Linked DNA regions of Arabidopsis thaliana. The protein of the gene in region 1 interacts with the protein of each later gene in a biochemical or structural test. Each region holds a gene or a part of one and is shown in the gene's direction. Other genes may lie near its edges.

Region 1 (6,985 bases):
GTCTTGGGTAAGAAAGACTGAATATTTTCTTTAACCCAAGAGAAAGCATGATCAGCATTTGAACTCATCTCTTTTAAAAACCCATTAGGAAGTCCAACAACAAGGTCTAAACCAGTTCCACTAAAAGCTTCAAGAACAGTGTGATCTACATCGTATATACGCACATTCCGAATTTTAGCTTGCTTTAGAAGTAAAACTACTTTCTCCGGAGATGGTATGTTGTCAGCTATCCTTCCATAATTTATCCCATATGTTCCAACAAATGCTCCATCAACTTGATACTCTTAAAGATCAAAAAAAAAAAAAAAAAATCATCAGAAAAAAAACAACCAGAAATTCAAAATCATAACATTTAAGATTCAACTATGTTTGATCAATCAACGAAATTAGCAAAACCCAACATCGTAATAAGAGTTGAAAATTGAAATTTAAACTTAACCTAGAATTTTTTTTTTAGCAATAGAATTAATAATAGAAAGACACTGTACCAAGCGAAGTCAGATTGAAGAAGAAGAAGAAGAAGAACTTGAGAAGAAGTAACTTAGAACTTCTCATCTGAGAAGAGTTATCAGAAAACTGTGGAAAAAAAGTGGAAGAAGAAGCAAAGGGTCATCGAGAGTAAACGGGAATCTGATTCGACAGCGACATCGAAGCAATCAGATACTTACGATCAAAACAGTTTTTCAGGTAAACGCAAAAAGTCTAGAAGAGATTGATGAAGCTGGAGAAGAAGAAGAAGATGATTGTGCTTCACTTGAATGATTTGCAAAAGGAGAATTTTCAAAAGAGAGATTTTTTGTTCTTCTGGGTTTTGGGCTTTTGGGTTTGATTGGAGTTTCTTGTTTTCGTCACTGTCGAATATATGAATAACACTTTACTTTTTTTTTATTCTTGTTGAAACTTTTTTATTTGGTTATTAAAATAAGAAGTTAAATTGAATTTAATAAGAAATGATAAAGAAGAATAATAAGATGGAAATTTCGTAGTGGTTAAGTAGTGATGTGGTTGGACGGTGAGTTTCTTTGGACGTACCAACATTACAGCTAAATCAGACGTGTATGGACCTCATTGTATTACTTTTTCTCAAGTGCTTTTTTTCTGTTTGTAAAATGTATGTTTGTTTACTAGGGTTCCAACTTTTCTTGTAGACTTTATAATTTAACTTTTTAGTTTTGTATAGAAAGATGGATGATTGAGAATTTAGCAGACTATTTAGATATTGGCTGCGTTAAGTGATATGAGAGAGGTTTGGTAGAGAATTAGCCTAATTAGATTATGGAATAATCAAGTGATTAAGTTTGCAATAAATAATGTGAGTTTTCTAAGTTAAGTGATCTGATCATTCACTTGAACTGAATATATTAAGGCTGCAAATGGTTGGATAACGATGAAAAAAAATAGAAAATTTGAGTTGAAAAAAAAAAGTTGAATACTATTCAACTCATTCCTCTGCGATATTCAACTCATTCCTCTGCGAAATATGAGATGAACAAGTTATAACTTTATTTTTAATAATTAGTTCATTTTTCCAACTTGAAATGGTTGTATTATTTTTCCAACTTATTCATTTTAAATGGTAAAATATTAGATGAATGCTCATTCAATTCTTTCAACTTCTTAATTCTAGGCAATCATTTGCACCTTAAAATTTATATAAAAAAGATAGTTATTTCGAAAAACCCTCTAAATCAATTTGACTCTCTTAATATAGATTAATAATATGACCTCAATCGAACCACTCTGTAATCTAAGTGGATCACGATACCATCATTTCCCATATCGAATTCTTCCAAATGAACTACTCTCTAAACCTTAATGTTTCCCCCAAATCGATATTTCAATGGATATTTTCTTTAATTTTCATGTCATTTTTTGTTATGTTTTATGGCACAAGAAACTAATGAAATTCATGTCCTTTTTAGCGATGTCACGTCATCGATATGACCGAAGTTTATTTTGCGGATGACTTTAGAGTTCATATGATTAACTTGTATAGTTCGGATATGAATGGTAGATTTGTAAACGAAATTGACTTACAGGTTTTGTTTGCAGCAAACCCAAAAATTAAAAGCCTAATGAAGAAAAATTCGGATTGGGCTTGGAGTTGTTCGGATGAATTGTTGTTTGTAGCCTTATAGGGGCCCTTGTTTATACAAGAAGAAAGAAAAAACACAAGAGACGACGCAATTGAAAGAAAAAAAAAAACGAGAAGCGTTTTCTTTCTCTCCAAAATCCATTACTCGCGAACTTTCCTCTGCTAAGGTATTCTTTAACCTTGTCAACACACTAGCCTTAAGGTTGTAAATCTCTCTCTCTCTCTCTCTTTTTTTCAATTTCTACGAAGATTGGTAACCCTAGCGTTTTGTTATCTTCGCTTCAATCTGCTCTGTTCGAGATTTGGTTTTGCAATTTTCACGGATTTCGTTATCTTTAGTATACATATGATTGTTGTCAATAAACTTTGCAGAAGAACTTGTTTTAAGCCTTGATCTAAGAGCACCAAGCTGAATTTATTCTGATTTCTCTGTTTACTGAATAGTGTTCACTAGAAAGAGGTGGTGATTATGAGTTCAAGCGAAGCGTTTCCCGTGATGCAGGTAACTATAGGTGGTGTTTATCTTTCTCTTATTGTTCTTAGACTAATTACGAAGGTTCTTACACTTATGTTTGGACTAATTTTGGCAGGAGATCATGCTTGAGTTTCGTGCTGGGAAGATGTCTTTGCAGGGAACAAGAGTTGTCCCTGATGCACGAAAAGGACTTGTCCGCATAGCTAGAGTAATGTCGACGCTTTTAGTTTCCATTTAGTAATTTGAATTTATTCGTTTCCATTGAACGTTGGAGTGTATCAGCTTTTCCTATTGAAGTTAAAGCATATCGGAATCTAATTGTTGGTGTCAGAACACGTTTATTACTGGTTCTCTGTAAATGTTAACCTAGGTTTTTTAATCCTGTTATCCTTTCTTTTAGGGTGACGAGGGACTGATTCATTTCCAGTGGCTTGATCGAAACCAGAATACAGTAGAAGATGTATCCTCTGCACTTGTTTTTTTGAATTTTAGAAAAGGACTAGAGATTCTCCTAGTATCAAGTCTTTGCTATACCAGTGGATTCGTGACCCAAGACGGTCAAATTTCTTAGCTCTATCCACCTAGGAGGTTTTTTTATTTTTTGCCATGCATGAATAGAACAAAAACTGAAGGATTTATTAATTGTTGCTACCAGATGTTCCAGTTACGAAGTTTTCTCCTTGACCATACCTATTTATAGGATCAAATTGTTTTCCCAGATGAAGCTCTATTTGAAAAGGTTAATCAATCCTCAGACAGGGTGTATATTCTGAAGTTCAACAGTGATGACCGCAAGTTATTCTTCTGGATGCAGGTTACTTGTTTGTTTTCTTAAAGATATGTTTGTATGTTTGTTCACCTTAATCACTTATATCTTTGATCTTGTTTGTCTCTCAGAACTCTATTTCTAAATTATTTTGCAGGAGCCAAGAGCTGAAGGTGATGCAGAATTGTGCTCTTCAGTCAATCAATACCTCAATCAACCACTAGGCATGTAACATTCCTACCTTGTTACAAACAGTCTAGGATATGACTGCATCCTTGTACTAATGTCTTTCTTACTGTTTAACCTTCCAACTTCCATGATGAGCAAACTAGCTTTCTTATCCTTAAAATTAAAATACATATTCCTTCGTACATTCATTCATCTGGCATTTTATGTGTCAACGCGGATTTGGTAATAGTTTCATGGTACTAATATTTATAAGGAGCTTCCCTTTCCAAATAGCATGCACAACAATTTCTTTTCATTAGCTCATGTAATCGTTTCCATCATGAATATGAAAAAATTTGCCACGAATAGGTGGCGCCTTGGTTGTAGAACACTGGTTCAAATCCATATTTCTGCTTGCTTTTATATTTCATCGAATCCAAATTTAGTTGTAATTGTACCATAGAAGGAACCACTTTTTTAAATTTCCTGCGTAAATGGATCTTGAGTGTGACTACCAATCAGTCTAATGCGCTTATCGACTGAATGGTGAAGAAGTTTTTAATATATATCAAAGATCAGATTTGCAAGAGTATGTTTGATTTCTTGCTTGTCATTGTTGGTTTGCGTATTAAGAAAAGTTTGAAGTGAGGAGCTAAAATGTGTTATTGTTTTTTAGCACTCGAAAACTTCTCTTATCCCAGATGGAATGGACGCCACAAATTGTAGCCTTTTTACTTATAATGTCACTAAGATTCTGCAATAATTCACATATGAGCATGTAAATGTTATTTTCTCATCTCTTTATGTGTATTACGCATGCTTGATAGTGACAATACGTAGTCAATTGCATAAGACGAAAAGGTTGAATCAATCTAATAAATTTTCCTGTGCACCAGAGTTTCCTGGTGAAGAAGGACTTGCAGCTGCTATCACGGAGGAGCTGGAAGACATGGCAGAGGATAATACATCATCTAGGTACTGATTAATGTCAAAGTGATAGTCTCACTGTCGGTTTTGCAAAGTACATAACTGGCTTACCATTTTATCTTCAGAAATGGGTTGATTGCTTTGTGGTCAGTGTCATTGAAACATATATTTTCTTGCTATTTTTCCTTATGTTGCATCTGTGGAATGCTTTGGTAACTTACATCCTACTTGTGAGTTGTGTAAATGGACTTTGCACATTAAAGTTGTGTAGACATGGCCACTCAGGGGTCAATAGATTTTCTGCGAAAAGCTATCAGACTCTTTTTTGATGAGATTCGGAAAGCTTAAATTTCAGAGTCATATGTTTTTCGTTATTATGTGAAGATTTTCAACAAATATCCTTGATTTGCAGTTTGAATACCATGTGAAAAGTATTAGCTTATATAGAATGCTATGGCTTATTTGAATTTTTTCATCTTGCATAGAGCGGGAAACTTGGTTGTACCAAATTTGTCTTCAGAGGTGAGTGACGTGACATCGTCCTCTGGACCGGTTAAGCTGGCAGACCTGCAAAGAATTCTGAACAACCTCTCTGGTGGCCCTGTAGGTACAATTCTCTATCTCTAGGTTCTCCTATCAATAGGATTTTTTGGTTTCCCTCTTATACTTATTTAGGTACGGTTGTAATGTTTAGGTATTGCTGGAGATCAAGACGAAGGTAAATAATTTCAATGTTTTAAATTATTTGTATATGATATGGTGCGAAGACATTATATATTTATCCTAAAGTCTGCATTGGTTGGAAATGGCAGTGCCCAGCTTTTTTCTGTGATCAATAATATGTTCTCAACTGTTAATTGTTCTTTCTCTCTACTATTGTTCATTACTGACCTCATCGTCCACTCTTGTTATATCGTTCAAAGGTTTAGCATTAGGGGATATCTTGAAACCGGAGTTGATAATGCCATTGCTTGAGGCGTTGCCGGTACAAGAACGACTATCTTCGCATTTACCTGAGGTATGTCTTGGTCTTCAATGTTTCTGTATTCTATGAATATGAACATTACATGCAATTCTCTCCATTTTAGTTCTGTCTTCTGAAAATGTCTGTTATGGACCAGAGGTTTTAAGCAAAAACTTCCCTTTAACCTGGCTCTGATACCAAATTGATATGATGCGAAACCTTAGCCTTAGCTCTTGTTAAAGGACCCGTTGCTAAAGCTTAAAGAACAAGAGATTGAAAGCTAAGCTGAGGCTAATCACATTGGTCATGTACCAGACTAACCCAAAGGCTAATCTAATCAATCACAGGGTCATTCTAGGGCAGAAGATATACTGGAGTTGTTGCAGAGCCCTCCTTTTCGTCAACAAGTAGATGCATTTACCTATGTAAGCCCATCTGTGACAATGCTGTTTCCATTCTTGGGTCGATATTCTAACTCAACATCTCTCTCTTTAGGTACTCCGCACAGGACAAATAGATTTGACTCAGTTTGGTATAGACCCAAGTAAATGTGAGTGATTCTTACGATGTTGTTTCCATTCTTGTTGTTTCTTTTTCTCTTATGCAGTTTTAACTTTTGCAGACAAGTTCACAGTGGACTCATTCCTTGAAGCACTTGAAGACTCGGTTTCAACGCAATCAAGGGATGCGATGGATGAGAGTTAATCTTTTCATATTCTCATGATTTTGTTCGAACTTTGATATTGAACTGAGAAAAACATCTTCGTTGTTTGGTGGATCATTTATGGAGTTTTCATGAAAGTGTAAGGATCATCATGGGATTTTCCTTTTCTGCCACAAAGGTTTCTAAGCATTTATATCAATTTTACGATTTAATTAGACTAGGACATGCGGAATCACGATTTCAATAGGAAAAAGAAAACCCTAACCATAGAGAAAAACTTTTCATAATTTTCATATGCTTTGTTTTTTTCTTCATAATTTTCATATCCGTGTAACATAAAGTCAATGTCAATATTCACTTACAAGTTCACAACCATACGAAGGTTATCACTGATCAGTTATCACCAAATTATTTCTCAAATGTTCCACCACAAATATTGCAACGCCTAGGTCATTTTCTAGTAAAGCGTAATCAAAGAAAATGATGTCTTTCTATTTAATAAACATGTTGCGATGCTTGTTAAGTCTCATGATTTTTCCATTTACCAGTACTATCAATGCAAATTTGTTTGCAAACAAACGAACAAGGCTAAACCAAAAAGAAAACAAGGATAGGAAAAAGAGGCAAAAATTAAAGATGGATTTGTAAGATTTCAATAAATACAGATTTCAATAAATATCGTAGTTTTTCTTTTTGTAAAATATCATTTTTTCTTTTAATCTTGTAGAACAAAAATAATTTTGGAATACAATGTATAATCATTTTGACTCTTTATGTGTCTTCTCACCATATTTTTTTGTATGTTTGGGTTGTACTTGGTTTACGCGTTTGCGAATATATTCTATTTGCTTTCTAGTTCTAGTAAAATCGAAATCTGGATGTAGTTCGGGAGGGTAAGAAAAACTGAATTTTGTTAACAAATTTTT
Region 2 (5,706 bases), 3.8 Mb from region 1:
TTTCTTGGAGTGTTGTAATCCGAAGTTATGTGCAGAGCAAGGAACCTGTTGTTGGATTGAAGTTGTTTAAAGAGATGGTTCATGAGGCGAAAACAGAGCCTGATTGTGTGACTGTGACAAGTGTTCTCAAGGCTTGCACGGTGATGGAGGACATTGATGTTGGAAGATCAGTTCATGGGTTTTCGATACGGAGAGGTTTTGATTTGGCAGATGTGTTTGTTTGCAATTCACTTATTGATATGTATTCAAAAGGATTTGATGTTGATTCAGCATTTAGAGTATTTGATGAGACCACTTGTCGAAACATTGTTTCATGGAATTCGATTTTGGCTGGGTTTGTACATAATCAAAGGTACGATGAGGCTCTTGAGATGTTTCATTTGATGGTGCAAGAGGCGGTCGAAGTGGATGAAGTTACAGTCGTGAGTCTTCTCCGGGTTTGCAAGTTTTTTGAGCAGCCATTGCCTTGCAAGTCAATACATGGTGTAATAATTCGGCGTGGATATGAGTCAAACGAAGTGGCTTTGAGTTCTTTGATTGATGCGTATACAAGCTGCAGTCTTGTTGATGATGCAGGAACCGTGCTTGATTCGATGACGTACAAGGATGTGGTGTCATGTAGCACAATGATCTCTGGATTAGCCCATGCTGGCCGATCCGATGAAGCAATCTCAATCTTCTGTCACATGAGGGATACGCCCAATGCTATCACCGTCATAAGTCTTCTTAACGCATGCTCAGTTTCAGCGGACTTGAGAACTTCCAAATGGGCACATGGGATTGCTATCCGGAGAAGCTTAGCCATCAATGACATCTCAGTTGGTACCTCTATTGTTGACGCATACGCAAAATGTGGTGCCATAGAAATGGCGAGAAGGACTTTCGATCAAATCACTGAGAAAAACATCATCTCTTGGACCGTGATCATTTCAGCATATGCTATTAATGGTCTACCGGATAAAGCATTAGCATTGTTCGATGAAATGAAACAAAAAGGTTACACACCAAACGCTGTGACATATCTGGCAGCTTTATCAGCTTGTAATCATGGAGGATTGGTAAAGAAAGGTCTCATGATCTTCAAATCAATGGTAGAAGAAGATCACAAACCTTCATTGCAACATTACTCTTGCATTGTAGACATGCTTAGCCGAGCTGGAGAGATTGATACGGCTGTGGAACTTATCAAGAATCTTCCAGAAGATGTTAAAGCAGGGGCTAGTGCTTGGGGAGCGATTCTTAGCGGTTGCAGAAACCGTTTTAAAAAATTGATCATTACCTCAGAGGTAGTAGCTGAGGTTCTTGAACTCGAGCCCTTGTGTTCTTCAGGTTACTTGCTTGCGTCAAGCACATTTGCTGCAGAAAAATCATGGGAAGATGTAGCAATGATGAGGAGGTTGGTGAAGGAGAGAAAGGTTCGGGTCGTTGCGGGTTATAGCATGGTTCGTGAAGGAAACTTGGCAAAGAGGTTTTTGGCTGGAGACAAGTTAAGCCAGAGTGATTCTGAATTAAATGATGTCGTTCAGAGTCTTCATAGATGCATGAAGTTAGACGATACTGCAGGACCGATAAACTAAAGCCCTTTGGGCCTCAACGAAGCAGATAAATGATATTATTATACGATGCCGTATGTATTCTCGGATCCGGGTGAGAAAAGGAACGAACCGGGTTTTGTTTTTGACCCGACCCGGTCCCTTCGATCCGTTCTCTGAAGCAGAAGTCTTCTTGTTTTGTTCTCTTCGATCCATTTCGTCAAGCAATCTACCGAACCGACTCAGAGCTTTTGAGTCTTCTAAATCTCTATCGAATTTTTCTAGGGTTAGGGCTCCTGATCGATTTCGCGAGCTCTGCGATTATTTTAAGTATTAGGATCCGAAATTAGAAATGGGTGGAGAGGGAGATTCAAGTCAGCCGCAGAGTGGTGAAGGAGAAGCTGTGGCTGTGAACATCAGGTGCTCTAATGGCACGAAATTTAGTGTGAAGACGAGTCTCGATTCAACGGTGGAGTCTTTCAAAGAGTTGGTGGCTCAGAGCAGCGATGTTCCAGCTAATCAGCAGCGCTTGATTTACAAGGGTCGTATCCTCAAGGACGATCAAACTCTCCTCAGCTATGGTAATCTTCATCGTTTCTGATTTATTCGTGTGGGTACTTTTGTTGTTCTCGTAGATCCTTATTGATTGAAATTCTTGTGGATTCTATTCTCTGTGGAACATGTTATACCTAGGTTTGCAGGCTGATCACACCATTCATATGGTTAGAGGCTCTGCACCTTCTTCAGCACCACCTCCTGCTCCGGCCGCAAGCCAAACCACTGCACCTAGTGTTACTCGAGGGGTTGGTTCAGATAATAGCTCGAATCTAGGAGGAGCGAGTCCTGGGGAATCTTTGTTCCCTGGGCTTGGATTTAATCCTCTGGGTGGTGGAAATGCTATGTCTGGGTTATTTGGAGCTGGTCTTCCGGATCTTGTGCAGACACAGCAACAACTAGCTCAAAACCCTAACATGATTAGAGATATGATGAATACTCCAGCCATCCAGAACCTTATGAACAACCCAGAGTTTATGAGGAGTATGATTATGAATAACCCTCAAATGCGTGAGCTTGTAGATCGCAATCCTGAGCTTGGTCATGTGCTCAATGACCCAAGCATCCTTCGTCAAACTCTAGAAGCGGCAAGAAACCCAGAGCTTATGCGTGAAATGATGCGGAATACTGATAGGGCTATGAGTAATATTGAGTCTATGCCTGAGGGATTTAACATGCTTAGGCGTATGTATGAAAATGTCCAGGAACCGTTAATGAATGCTACCACTATGTCCGGGAATGCTGGAAACAATACAGGCTCCAATCCATTTGCTGCTCTGTTGGGAAACCAGGGGGTCACTACGCAAGGAAGTGATGCTTCTAATAATTCTTCGACACCAAATGCTGGAACGGGGACTATTCCGAATGCAAATCCACTTCCTAATCCTTGGGGTGCTACAGGTGGTAAGTAACTGCATTTTCATCTTCTAATCTCCTGTCGATTTTATTTGTCTTTTGAAGGATGCAGTAATATTTTATAAATGAAAAAGTGGCTTGTTTATAAGAAATGGACGTTACTGTTCACTGCTCTGCTTCAGGAACAATATTGTGTATAGTAAATTGGTGAGTTAGTGTAGTTACCACAATTTGTTGTTATGTGTAGTTTTTGCATATGATTTTCTTGGCTTATTGTTTCTAATTTAACATTTACTCATAATACACTAAATATAATTGAACATATTGTGGGCTACTTGACAGGTCAGACAACTGCCCCTGGAAGGACAAATGTTGGTGGGGATGCGAGGAGCCCTGGACTTGGTGGCCTTGGTGGTCTTGGAAGCCTTGGAGGCCTTGGTGGACTCGGTATGCTTGGAGCGGATTCACCTCTTGGTGCGACTCCAGATGCTTCTCAATTGAGCCAGTTATTGCAAAACCCAGCCATATCGCAGATGATGCAAAGCGTATTTTCCAATCCACAATACATGAATCAGGTAGGCCTAGAATGATCTGAACTTAAGAGCCTTTTACCATTGTGAACATATATTAATTGTTTTCCCTTGATTCCAGCTTATGAGTCTTAACCCACAACTCCGAAGCATGCTAGATTCGAATCCTCAGTTGAGGGAAATGATGCAGAACCCAGATTTCCTTCGTCAGTTTAGTTCTCCGGAGATGATGCAGGTTAGTTTGTCCCCTATTGTCTGTATGCATATGAATTTTTAACATGGTAGTCTCTCAAAAGAAACATTTCTTTGTATCTAAGCTATTTTCAAGTAAAGAAGTTTCTTTTCTTTTTTTTTTTTGGGACAAAGTAAAGAAGTTTCTTAAACCTAATGTTTTCTATTGTTTTTTGGTCTTCAGCAAATGATGACTCTACAGCAATCACTATCTCAGAATAGAAATACAGCCAGCCAGTAAGTTTTGTTAAAACCCTTCGTTGTTTGGATTTGCTTAAACAAAGTTGAGCATTTACATGTCCTTTACATATTGTTTTTTGGGTTGTTTAGTGTTTAGACAATGTTGTAACTAGCTAAAAAGATTGGTTGTGAACGATCTCTATAATAAGAAAAGGATTGAACCATGACTAATGCAGCAACTCTTGTATGATTTACTGGGCTGATCACTAGTAACATCTATCAAAGAGGCTATAAATAAAGCATTTTAATCGTTGGAATACACTTGAATAGGGCTCATAACATTTTGTTTGTTTTTGATTATGCCTTTTAGCATAAGCTATGTGTGTTAATCTCCATATTTTGATTTTCATCAATCCGCATTCATGTTCCCAAATCTATCTTCTCTGTAGGGATGCGGGGCAAACTGGTGCTGCCACAGGTACTCTTAAAGATATTATATGTATTTATTCTACAGTAGTATAAAGGGTTTAGTTATGTTACGTAGTATAGCAGCTACTCTTTAGTTCTCTTTGCTTTCATGTATGTTTTATTTTAGCAGATATTGTATCGTATACAAGTTAATAGTAGAATGACAATACTGATGGGGACAGGAAATAACGGGGGGCTGGATTTATTGATGAATATGTTTGGCAGTCTTGGTGCTGGCGGCCTGAGTGGCACGAACCAATCCAATGGTTAGAGACTACAAATTTTTTTTAGCTTACGCATCTGTTGTGATGGTTCCACTGAAACTTGTCTGTTTGATTCCAGTTCCTCCTGAAGAGCGGTACGCTACTCAATTGCAACAGTTGCAGGAAATGGGATTCTATGACAGAGCAGAGAACATTAGGGCGTTGCTTGCAACCAATGGTAACGTTAACGCTGCTGTAGAACGACTCTTGGGGAGTATCGGACAGTAGCATACAGGTTCATGAACTGATGTCTCTCCATCTGGCTTCTCAGTTATAGAATAAACAGCTTGAATGTGTGTTTTTCAGTAATGATATATTCATCGAATTCATAAAAATTTATATATGATAGGATCGTGAACTTTGTTGATAGAAAAGCCGCATCAATACGGTATTTGTTATCAGTGGTCACTCTTCGTCTTTAACTACCCTTAAACCTATATATCTTGGGTGTTTATCTTTGATAACTTATTTCAAGTTGTTACAACATACAACATCTGTAAATGTTTATAGACATCAAAGTGAAATTGAACCCATTAAATTTTTGGTTCCTTCTGATCCGGTTCAAAGGTTAAACCAAATTGCCCAAAGAGAGAAGTGGCATGTTGCAAAGGAATATCCAATTAGTTGATTCATCATCTTCAATTAGATTCAAGTTACAGCCAATTCCTTCCTGAACTATATACCAAATGCCTCAATTTAGACCCGACCCGGCCCAATCTTACCCAGTAAGAGTCGTCGATACGTTCTCTGAAGCGCAAGTCATTTCTGGATTCTCATTTAATTGGCCGTTCGGGGCCAAATAACTCTTTAATTTTCTGCAGTCTCATTTGTTATTCGACCAAAAATAATTTATATCCCTTTCCTCAAGAAATCTTCAGAACCGACTTATTAGAGCTTCGAGTCTCCTCAAATCTTCTTCTACGATTTTTTCTTCTAGGTTTAGAGCTTTTGATTCTCCGATCAATTTCGCGATTTGTTGAACTAGGATCTGAAATTAGAATGGGTGGTGAAGCAGATTCGAGGCAGCCGCTGACTGCTGAAGGCGTAGCTGTTGCCGTGAACGTCAGATGCTCCAATGGCACGAAATTTAGT

What was found.
Region 2: the proteins of RPN13 (region 1) and DSK2 form a complex in vitro, tested with the Arabidopsis thaliana proteins (one study listed by BioGRID).

The regions. Positions count from the first base shown.
Region 1 is NC_003071.7:11,310,297-11,317,281, reverse strand, and holds RPN13 (regulatory particle non-ATPase 13), read left to right. Parts: upstream 1-1,757; 5' UTR 1,758-2,262; exon of another isoform or gene 2,263-2,539; 5' UTR 2,540-2,564; coding exon 2,565-2,597; intron 2,598-2,685; coding exon 2,686-2,778; intron 2,779-2,970; coding exon 2,971-3,030; intron 3,031-3,270; coding exon 3,271-3,384; intron 3,385-3,493; coding exon 3,494-3,560; intron 3,561-4,400; coding exon 4,401-4,479; intron 4,480-4,916; coding exon 4,917-5,038; intron 5,039-5,125; coding exon 5,126-5,149; intron 5,150-5,354; coding exon 5,355-5,449; intron 5,450-5,742; coding exon 5,743-5,820; intron 5,821-5,890; coding exon 5,891-5,945; intron 5,946-6,017; coding exon 6,018-6,100; 3' UTR 6,101-6,325; downstream 6,326-6,985. Other genes in the region: AT2G26600 (Glycosyl hydrolase superfamily protein), read right to left, coding at 1-283, 489-555.
Region 2 is NC_003071.7:7,481,269-7,486,974, reverse strand, and holds DSK2 (ubiquitin family protein), read left to right. Parts: upstream 1-1,734; 5' UTR 1,735-1,884; coding exon 1,885-2,113; intron 2,114-2,225; coding exon 2,226-2,990; intron 2,991-3,284; coding exon 3,285-3,517; intron 3,518-3,593; coding exon 3,594-3,707; intron 3,708-3,887; coding exon 3,888-3,940; intron 3,941-4,332; coding exon 4,333-4,361; intron 4,362-4,533; coding exon 4,534-4,617; intron 4,618-4,693; coding exon 4,694-4,842; 3' UTR 4,843-5,094; downstream 5,095-5,706. Other genes in the region: AT2G17210 (Tetratricopeptide repeat (TPR)-like superfamily protein), read left to right, coding at 1-1,577; AT2G17190 (ubiquitin family protein), read left to right, coding at 5,614-5,706. UniProt on the Arabidopsis thaliana protein: Binds and presumably selects ubiquitin-conjugates for destruction. Prefers multiubiquitin chains rather than single ubiquitins, with a binding affinity for 'Lys-48'-linked ubiquitin chains.